Linked DNA regions of Cricetulus griseus. The protein of the gene in region 1 binds, or shares a complex with, the protein of each later gene. Links are inferred from orthologs where the notes say so. Each region holds a gene or a part of one and is shown on either strand. Other genes may lie near its edges.

Region 1 (3,653 bases):
ATCTGCTCAGAGTTGGGATATAGGTATACACAGGATGTCCAGCTTGATACACGGGTGCTAAATTTGAACATGGTTGTGCAGCAAGTGCTCAACTACTAAGCCATTTCTCTAGCTCCATGTTTAAATGAAAGATTTGTCTATTCTGCCTTCATGTGTATCTGTACACCATGTACAATCAGTGCTCACGGAGGCCAGAAGAGGGCAACGGATCCCCTGGGACTGGAGTTATAGGTGGTTGTGAGCCACCACCATACAGGTGATGGGAATCAAACCAGTGCTCTTAACTACTGAACCACCTCTCCAGCCATATCCCTATATTTTAAAAATACTTCCCAGTTTATTACATCATTCATTAACAGCCTTGACCAAGAACCTTTATTTTAATGTGTGCCTACTATGATCAAGGTGTTGTATCATACAAGAAAGCTAAATACAAAGCCTAGTATGGTGCTGCATGTCCGTAATTCCAGTCCTCAGGAACCTGAGGCAGGACTGTTCCAAATTTGAGGTCTGCCTGTGCTATACAGTATCAGGCCAGTAAGGGCTACATAGCTTTAAGAGAGCAGGTTGAGCAAACTACATGAAACCAGCTAGTAAGCAGCACTCCTCCATGGTCTCTGCATCAGTGCTTGCCTTGACTTTTTGCTCTAACTTCCCAGGAGAGGCAGAAAATGATTCTAGAGCCACAAAGCAAGAGCTCGAGAGCCAAAACAATTTTGAATCTCACTTAAAAGCACATACCGTTTTAGAAAGTTCACTTCCAGATTCCATAATGCGCAAACACAAAGGGATTATCTCTGTTGTCAATAAAAAGTTGATTACTTCTTGTTCATCTGTTTTAACCAAGGCCCCTAAAGAAAATATGAACAAACAAAATTATTTTAAAGAAATTATTTCTAATTACATTTACTATGAACTGTCCCATCAAAGCAAGCTATGGAATTTAAGTAATATGATATGCAGACTGTAGTTTCTGTGTCAGGCAATCAGTTTCATATTCATTTGAACAACAACAACAAAAAAGAGTCAGCAGCAGAGTCATGAGTGCAATCCCAGTATTGGGAAGGCATAGGCAGGGAAATGCTGAGTTCAAGGCCAGCCCCGGCAAATTAAAGAGATGTTGTGTCAAAATTTAAAAAATAAAAATAAAGCAAGTGGAGAAAGTGCTCAGTGTTAAGAACACTAGCCTAATACAAGGCTCTGAGTTACTAAACTAAGTTCATTCAACTTAGATAAAGTTGATCAATAGGGTGGTGGTGGCGCACACCTTTGATCCCAGCACTTGGGAGGCAGAAGCAGGAGGATCTCTGTGAGTTCAAGACCTGCCTGGTCTTCAAGAGCTAGTTCCAGGACAGCCCCCAAAGCCAGAGAGAAAATCCTGTCTCAAATACCCCCCCCCAAAAGTTGATCGATCAAGTTATTCCTTACTCCCTCTATAACTTGATGCTAAATGATTATTGATCCTTACAGCTTTACTAGCAACATTGAGAATGGTGCCTGCTAACTTTGCAAGCACTTATCAGTAAATGAGATGTCAAAGACAAAAAATGAATAAGCTATAAGAAGTTGTACAAAATACAACTCAGACCACTATTGACCAGAAGAATTTCAGTCTTACCCTGAGTTCAATCCCCAGCACTGCATTAAGTATGGCGATGTATGCCTATAATCCCAGCACTTTGGAGGTGGAGGTTAAACCATCAGAAACTAAAAAATTCAAGGGTATCCTCAGGTACATAGTGAGCTTGAGGCCAGCCTATACTACATGAGACCATCTCAAGAAAATCAAAACAAAAATAATAAAATAACTTACCAATAACTCCAAGGCTAGTGAGCCGAAGATACTCAAAGGGACGAGTTTTGCTGACTGTGTGCAAAAAGGGGTACAAAAAAAGTGGGATGTGTGCTGCGAGAAAAGCCGACCTGAAAGAAAAAACAACCATATTTAGACCTCAGAGCTGCCTTCTAGACATCAAATGTCTAAGCCTAAAACAATACGTGAAATCACCAGAGTAAGTAATCTTTAGAAACGAACTTTATTGGTTTTTAGCCTTGACCAACCTTCTGAAATGTGTAATTTTGTTCCCTAGGAGACATGTGCCAATGTTTGGAGATTATCAGAAGCAAGAAATGTTGAGGGCTACTTAGCATACAGTCAGAGGCCAGAGATGACTACTGCTTAGAAGCATACCTGCTTGCCCTCACTGACACATCATACAGACAGCTCAAGTGTCAATGTGTAACAACCACCCAGGCTAGGGTGAGTAAACCAACACAATCTGCAGTCTGCACCAAATACCTTAAAACCTGATGAACTCAAAAGTTCTCGATGTTAGGTTTAAAAAAGATCAAGTCATAAATGCTAAAACTAATGTGTTGTTGCAATGTTGTTGAGTTCCTACAACTCAAGGGTACTCCTAAATTAGGAGAATCATGAGTTTGGGGCCGGCCTGGAGACACTGTCTCCAAAAGATAAGAGAAGCGGGGAGGGGAGAGGAGAGGAGGATAGGGAGAGGAGAAGGAGAAGAGAGAAAAAAGTGACATGAGAAGCTACATTAGTCACACACACACACACACACACACACACACGACAGACAGGTGGATGGCACACACTTTTAATCCCAGCACTTGGGGGAGGGGGCACGGCTGCAGAGGCATGTGGATCTATCTCTGTTGAGCTCGAGGCCAGCATGCTCTACGGATAGAGTTCCAGGACAGGCTCCCAAGCTACAGAGGAAGGAAAAAAACAACAAAATAACTCCCCCCCACCCTCGCAAACAACAAAAATAAATTTACTGAGTTCCTACTATATGCCATGTAATGGTTATAACAATCATGGCCAGGTGTCTACTATGATTAAAAAAAAAAAAAGTGCCTATGTACCTAAATATATTTACTTTCCTGTGATATGAACATCACTCTTTAAAACTTCAAAGCTATGACTCTGATTTAAATGAAATGAACATAAAATAATTACTTAATTTTGATTTTTTGAAACAGGGCCTCATTCTGTAGCAAGCCTCTTGTCTTAGCCTTCTGAGTGCTGGAATTACAGGTCTGAACCATCACGCCATGCCAGGCTTAAAGCTCTGGTTTCATATTTGGGATTGAATCACTGACAGAAAATATTTTTAAGGTAACCAAGCAAAATCTTTTCTCTTAGGATACAGCAAATCACTAAATTAGTTGAACCGCTTATGTTCAGAGTGTTTATTACTATTTTGAAAATTGTTTTTATGATGTTAAAAAAGTATGGAATTGTATTCTTCTTCATTTTTAAAACACATTATACTTACTTCAAATCTGTAGCTAGAAACTAAAAATAGCTGTCAAACTTAACAGTGTAGAAATATGTATGTCAGGGGCTGGAGAGATGGCTCAGAGGTTAAGAGCAGTGGCTGTTTTTCTAGAGGTTTTGAGTTCAATTCCCAGCAAACATATGATGGCTCACAACCATCTGTAATGAGATCTGGCACCCTCTTCTGGCCTGCAGGCAGGACATTGTATATATAATAAACAAATAAATAAATAAAAAAGAAGAAAGAAATACTTATGTCAATGTCAAAGAAAACCAGAGAAACGTGGGTATGGTGGTATACAGCTATAATCCCAGACCTTGAGAAAGGCGGTACGATTAGAGTTTGAGGCCAGTC
Region 2 (3,753 bases), on another chromosome or scaffold:
ATTACTCCTACGAAGGACAGGAAAGTAGAAACCGAATATGGTCACCTCTGAACTTTCATCAACTACCTCAGGACCATCACATGCTATTCCTGTATGTGCAACTTATCAGAAAAATATAAATGGACAAAAGAAAAGTAAAACCCAGAGGGTAAAAGGCAGCCCGAATGAGCCTCCATCTTGGACTCAAATGACCATTCTTTTCTTCTTTAATTACTTATTCAAACACCAAACTCAAACTCTACTGCATTCCACTGTACTCAAATGCACATGTAGTTAGATTATACTTGGGTTTAGTCTGCACTTAACTTACATGTAGTGTTTATTAGTCACATTTCATTATAACAAGGTTACCTCCACAGCCTGATAACAGGCACAATTAAAGCAAAAAGATTTTGTAGAAACTAAAGTTTGAAAACATTAAAACCAGAACTTTCTTCTCCACAACAAATACCACTACATATTTATAATAGAAATCTTAAGTATACATTTTTAGATGAATATATGTGGGCATTCTCAAAAGTGACAAAACATCTAAGCCAGAGTTTCCTAACCAGAAGATCTTGCACATAGGAGAGGGTTGCAAACGAACTGAAGATTTTACTCTCTCATCACACAAGGGCCAAAAAATACAACTATAAGCTGCTTCAACCATTATTCCAGTATCTTACACAGATTACCTTTCTGGGCTGCACTGTATAAAAAACTTAGTTGTGGTACTGCACACCTTTAATCTCAGCACTCCAGAGACAAAGACAGGAAGGCCCACAAGGACTACATAGAGATCTTTTTTTCTTTTAAAGTTAACATGGGTACAGTAGATGCCTAAACATTAACCAAAATACTAGTTAAAATTACATGTATAATATCTGTTCAAAAAAAGAAAAGAAAAAAAAAAAAAAGCCTGAAATTTCCCAGCAACCAGAAACATCTGAAGTTACACACGGACTGACTTCCAAGGAGACATCTCCAGTCACACAAGAAAAATGGCTTTTTGTCACATACATTTTGTCCATGTTAGCAAGCACCTTGTGCACTTACTAAGAAATGGCCACATTGATCTACCTCAAACAGTATCTATTGGCTAAAACCCTTTCTTCTCAAAAAAAAAAAAAAATACTTAATAATTATACCGCAATTACATGTCTTCACAAATACAGAAAGCCTGATGTTTACCCTCACTCACTGCAATACCTTGGTCGAGTCATCTTATTCTTTCTAGGGTTCGGTTTCCTCATGGGCAGCGTAAGACTAGACCACTAGTTCCATGTAATTTTAACTCTAAAGTTTATTCTAGAAAGCATCAAATTCAAAAGGCTGGCAGCAATTACAAAAAGCAAAATATGTCTTCACAACCTTTTGCCTACAGAATTGCTGTGGAATGAATGGTGGAGAATTCTAGGGAACTGTGGAAAACGGTGCTATTACACACCAAATTGGTTTTCGCTTAATTCGTAGTCCCTCTCTTCTCCAAACAATCCCAAACAGAGGCAACAAAGAACTTAGCCCTAGCAATAATCCGGCAGTCTACCTGCAAAACAGGTTTGCCTGTACTCAAATTCAAGCAGATTATTTAAACACAGTAACAAGACGTTGTTCACAATGTTGTCACTTGCAGTTAACAGTTAAAAGCAACGATTACAGTTGCTTGTGAGCAGACTCCGAAGACTATGTCAAAGCAGAAAGAGTCAAAGGGGGGAAGCCGGCGGGGGAGGGGGGGAATGTTACCAAAGAAAATAACCACTGGCGTTCAAACATGAAAAGTCTAGGTTCGCTTTAGTTAAACTCGGGAAAATTTCTTCAAGGAATTAGTACTCGAGTCCTGAGTCCAATAATCTCTACATCTGATAATTACGTCTTTGGCCACGTAATCCGCTCCGCCCTAACAGTAAATATCTGCGTTAAAATGACTTATTTAAAATACTCGAGGAAGGAAAAGGTGAGCGCTAAGTTTGTCCACGGAGTGCCAAGTTCCACGCCGCACAGTGCGCCACCCCACACAACCACTTCACCGAAGTTGCCACCGGTCTTGGCCCGGAGTCCCGGGACACCAGCTCCTTCCTCTCCAGATGCGCATGGCCAGAACCGGGGGTCCGAGAAGCTCAGGCCCACGCCACCGCCTCTGTACGCCACCACACTGCCGTCAATCAACACCCCCACCCCCGGCCGAGCCCCGGGACTCCGCGCGGGGGCGCGGCCCGGGGACCGACGGGATCGTGACTGCGGCGTCCAGGAGGGGGACCGGCAGACGTCACTCCGAGAACTACTAAGTTGTGTGTGAGTGCGCGCTCGAGGTCCCCAGGGCACGGCCCCCGGGGGATGGGAGAGCGCAGGCAGCCGAGCCTCGGCGGGACTTCGCAGAGCCCGTCGCGCTCACCTCTCGAGCTGCGCCGCCTTCCTCCGCCGCTGCCGCCGCCTCCTCCCGGTGAGTGCAGCGGGGTCTGCCCTGTGGAACCACCATACCAGTCCCGCCCGCTGCTGCAGCGCCGCCGCCGCTCCTCAGCCGCCTCAGCCGCCGCTCTTTGTTCCCCCCTCAGGCGCCGCTCCTCAGCCGCCCGCCTCGGCCGCCCGGACCCCACGAGCCGCCGCTACGCTCTGCCGCCCTCTCGGCCCCCGGCCTCGCCCTCCTCGCCCGCGCCGCCGCCGCCTTCGCCTCCGCGCCGTCGACGCCGCCGCCACCGACGCCGACGCCTCCTCTTCCGCGCCCCCCTCGTTTTCATTGAAAGCAAACAAGCATCATGGCGGCGGCCGCCGTCCCCCTCCCACCCCAGCCAGCGAGAGCCCCGCTCACCGCCGCCTTGCCAACATCCTGGCTTCCCATTGGAGGATACTGCTGGGCGCGACCATTTCGCGTCAGGCAGGGGGGTGGATCTTCGTCTCCGTTCCCCCGCGTCGCGGAGCAGTGAGCCGGCCCGGCGCGCTCCTGCCCGCCCGCCCTGCCTCTCTTCCCGCTCTCTTTGCGCCTAGCCTTCTCCACGCCTACTGTCTCCTCCTCTTCCTAACACCGTCCTAACGCCGTTTCAGCTGCTCCCTATTCCCTTCTCGCTCACTTTTATCTCCACTTTCCCCTTGATTTTTCCTCCTCTCCATTCACTTTTCTTTTCCTTGACCTGTCAATCACTTGGAAGCACAGATAAGCACTCAGACTTTTAACCTATCCAGTGTCTTGATCTGCCCAGAGACAAAACGTTCAATCTTGAATACTCGACTCATTGTTTCTGCCCTAACTATGCAGAAAAAAAAAAAAAATAATCAGTAGGAGTTTTTGATGATAAAGTCCTAGTTTTAAGTAACGAACCATAGCCGCATTCAAAGGCTAACACAGTCTTATCTCTTCTGGGTTATTACCTGCAGACGGTGGTTGCAGGTAAACCAGGAAAGAAACGGGCTGACTAATGATGTTTACGTCAGGAAATAATAGTTGACTGGTATTTTGGGCTCAGGGATTAATCAGACTCCACCTTGTCTTGAGTCAGCGTTGCATAGTGTATGGGCAAGAGTAATATCCGGCAGACAAACTGCACTGGCTATGCAGGATATAGTGTGAAGGAAAATAGCTGCCCCCTACCTCGTGCCAAATCAGCCCAAAAGATATGAATGTCAAATGGTTTCCAGAAACTAACAAGGAAAAAATAAATAAATGCTTGTCCCTCACCGAAGTCTGTAGGAAATGGGTGGCTATTGCCTGAGGCAGAGAGAGCTGGGAGAGCAAAGCTCCCAGGGACAAAGGCTCTTCCAAGAACCAGATGTTCTGTT
Region 3 (3,653 bases), on another chromosome or scaffold:
TAATGAATGTTCTCTAAGGAGTGCCCTTCTCTGATGAACTCTGTGTCTCAGGAGGTTGATCTTGTATGGATACAAACCCTCACTTCCCTACCCCTATAGCTTCTATCTAGACTTGATTAATGGGGAGCCCTGGCAGATCAGAGCAAGAGTGAGAGAAGGGTTTATCTTCCCACATCTCCCTTCTTATTATAATCTGGCAGGCACTGATTGAATCATTCAATTCTAAGCCATCACCTCAATTATTGGCTCTCTTGTATACTTCCAATTTCTGATGACAGCTCCCACCATTTTCCCAGTTAGGAGTAGGAGTGGTAAAGTACAAAAGCAATCATTGTTTTTTTTTGTTTTTGTTTTTTTTTTTTTTACTTAAGACTGAACACTCCTTTGGAATCAGTCTCCTTATTAAATTTTTTCAATTAGTCACAGTCTCAGCCCTCAAATTCCAATTGATATGTTCTTTAATTTAGAAGAGAAAGCCCTGTTAGGAGATAGGTGGCCTTTCAACCAAAATTAGAAGCAAAACTGAAAGCAAGTAAAAAAAATGATGTTGTAAATACCTGAATCTGGCAATGAGTTAAGATCTGCACATAGCACCAGCGGGATGGAATTAGGATCTGCGGTTGGGCTGCCAGGCCTACTTGAGGCTTTCTCCAGAATGTTTTTAACCTCTGAGACAAACATCATGGTCTGAATAAGTTTCACATCAGAATACTCTGGGTCCCAATGCATGTGGGCATTTGCCACTATAAGCAGCTGTTTGTCTGCAGCATGAATAGGCTTCATACCTAAATTTAAACATCATAAAAAAGAAAATGTAGAGTTATGTTTATGTTTCTTGAGAGTAGTACCTTAAAAGTTCTCTGAAAAATATCCATTGCTACTTCTTTACTCTTTCCTATTAATTTAAACTGATTTTTATCTTGCACTTATCTGACAAGCTAAAAGGTAATTCTGGAAATTGCAATATATTAGTTATTCATCAGGGTCATGTTAACAAATGGCAGCCTATGGAATAAACCTGGGTCCACTACATATTTCTATTACAGGCTTTGTGAGCTAAAGGTAGTTTTACACTTTTCAAACAGACTCTATGTGGTCCACAGAACCTAAAATATTTAGTATCAACAATTATAGTACATGTTTATACTAGAAATTATTTCATAATATAATGAATATATGGGTTATAGTACTATTCATCTGCTGAGTTCTTAGCTTAAAGCAAACAAGTTATTTTAATTTTAAATGATGTGTGTATATGTATCGGAATATGAGGTCGGTACATGAATATAGTGCCTGTAGAGACCAGGATTTCTTGTATCTGAAATTAAAGGTGGTTGTGAGCCACCCAATGCAGCTATTAGGAACCAAATTCCAGTCCTCTGGAAAAATGAATGCTCTTAACTGCTAAGCCACCTCTCTAGTACCAAGCAAGCACTTTTAAGTGCCTCTTATTTAATTAGCATAATAATCTAGTGAGAGATTTTTCCAACTGAATTAACCAATACTTAATATCTTGCCACTACATAATATGTTACCTGTGTTGCATTTCACTAGCTTAATAGTGAAAGGTCAGTAGGAAAAATTAGTAACATTATATGAACCTACAGAAAATGAAATAAGGAAGCACATTTGTTACCCAACTGAATCCTCAAAGTTTATTTACTTATTTTAATTTTTGAAGTCAGGGTTTCTCTGTGTAGCCCTGGCTGTCCTGGAACTCACTATGTAGACCAGGCTGTCCTCAAACTCACAGAGATTGGGCTACCTCTGTCTCCCGAGTGCTGGTATTAATTAAAGGCATGCGCCACCTCAGCTGACCCCAGTTAATTTTAAAATGGAAACTGTGGGACTGGATAAAGGCTCAGAGCTTAAGAGCACTTGCTGCTCTTGAAGAGGACCAGAATTTGGTTTCTATCACTGACATCAGACTGCTCACAACTACCTGCAACTCTACTTCCAGTAGATCCAACACCCCTTCTGGCTCCCATGTGTACCAGGCATGTATATTGGGCACATACGCAGCCATGACCCTCAAAACAAAAATCAGAGAATTATGTGCTCTCAAAAGTCTGGATACTTTCATCTTTGACCTGCTTTTACTACTAATTACTTTGTGTGAATTCAGGGTAGTCAACCACTTAATGTTTTTGATACTCGAATAATTTGTAAAACGATAATTCAGCTATATATATATTCTTTTTTCCCTAAAATTCTGTCAAACATCAACATAGTACTTTTCAAAAGGTGGACATGGTAAGTAATAATATTAAATACAAATTGTGAAAAGAAAACTTAATAGGTGCTGGCGAAAGATGACCCTAAAACAGTCAAGGCATAAAATTAAATATTAATGGTATAATGTCACTTAACATAAATCTATATACACATATTTCAGATGTTTGGATTCATAAAAAGAAATGAGTAGGAGGAGATTTCTAGAGTGTGACTGACACAGGAACTTATTGCTTTTTAAGTTTATATACTTGTGAACTATTAAAGTATCAGTTAACATGCAAACCTAAGTTTTCTACAAGAATATCTCAGATTTTTCTACTGAAATAGAAACTCTAAAGAAAAAAGACAAATTTCTAAGTCTGATATTTAGGTAAAATTATTCTTCCTTCCAATCTTACTATATTTAATTTTCTTCAACATTGAGAAAATAAATTAATAAAGTACCTGTTACATGAAACTGAAGGAATAATTTACATTTTTTTTCTAAGCTGTCTCATTTTCCTAGAAGTTTTAGTGTCACTTATGGCTATAAGTGAATGTTTACTATGTTAAATATTAAAAACATGTCCCCAAAAAGCTATTTGCTCCTACCCACCAAATTCCCCTTCTAGAGGGATAAGGGATGTATCTTAGGAAGTAGAAGTGTGCAGTAAGTAATTCAGAATTACTCTTCTATAAATTAAAAAGGGATAAACCCCAAAGGTGTATATTTCTATAAAAGCAGAACAAAATATACCAGGAAGAAAGTGATAGGAAAAATACATAAAAATATTGAAAAGGCTAAAAACAAAAAGTAAACATGAAATTTCACATTAAAGGCTGTTTTTGTTTAACAACAGATAAACTGAAGAACTGTAGGAAAAAAAGGGAAATTTAACAATATGTATAGTCTGAATAATTCAAACTAGTACTCAAGACAGCCTTTTCTTCCACAGGCAGCACAGGGAGAGAAGTGCACTGATGTCATCTTACCACCTTGTTCTTGCCTGCAACATTAATAAGTAATAAAGTGCTCTGAGGCAGGCAGGAGAGAGGCTAACAAAAGATCTTAATAATGCCAAGCACACAACAGATTTCTGACTCTCAAGGAAGCTATGAATAATCTAAAAACCCTGGAAGTATCACATAGAAAATATGTCATTCTCACCCTGACAAAGACTTGAAATTTAACAAAGAAATTAAAGAAAACAAGCCAACTATTTCATATTAAAAACAAAGGGTTCACATTCACAAGAGAGGACTAAGCCATGGTAACTTCTAATTCAGCCTAACTAAACATCAAAGAACTTATTCAATTAATGGTATGTTAAAAAGGCAGGTATTACCTTGTTAAGTAAAAATAATGATAAAAACTATAGAATGTCAGGAAATCACAAGAAATAAAATTTGTAGAATTCATATTGTTTTCTTGTCCATCT

What was found.
Region 2: Cnot9 (region 1) and Cnot6 share a complex: the UniProt entries of both Homo sapiens proteins name them as parts of the CCR4-NOT complex. The link is inferred for Cricetulus griseus from reciprocal best matches to the Homo sapiens genes CNOT9 and CNOT6.
Region 3: Cnot9 (region 1) and Cnot6l share a complex: the UniProt entries of both Homo sapiens proteins name them as parts of the CCR4-NOT complex. The link is inferred for Cricetulus griseus from reciprocal best matches to the Homo sapiens genes CNOT9 and CNOT6L.

Annotation. Positions count from the first base shown.
Region 1 is NC_048595.1:427,767,019-427,770,671, reverse strand, and holds part of Cnot9 (CCR4-NOT transcription complex subunit 9), read right to left. Parts: intron 1,924-3,653; coding exon 1,814-1,923; intron 852-1,813; coding exon 742-851; intron 1-741. UniProt on the Homo sapiens protein: Component of the CCR4-NOT complex which is one of the major cellular mRNA deadenylases and is linked to various cellular processes including bulk mRNA degradation, miRNA-mediated repression, translational repression during translational initiation and general transcription regulation.
Region 2 is NC_048600.1:64,155,672-64,159,424, forward strand, and holds the start of Cnot6 (CCR4-NOT transcription complex subunit 6), read right to left. Parts: upstream 2,746-3,753; 5' UTR 2,375-2,745; intron 1-2,374. UniProt on the Homo sapiens protein: Poly(A) nuclease with 3'-5' RNase activity.
Region 3 is NW_023276807.1:158,440,421-158,444,073, forward strand, and holds part of Cnot6l (CCR4-NOT transcription complex subunit 6-like), read right to left. Parts: intron 786-3,653; coding exon 558-785; intron 1-557. UniProt on the Homo sapiens protein: Has 3'-5' poly(A) exoribonuclease activity for synthetic poly(A) RNA substrate.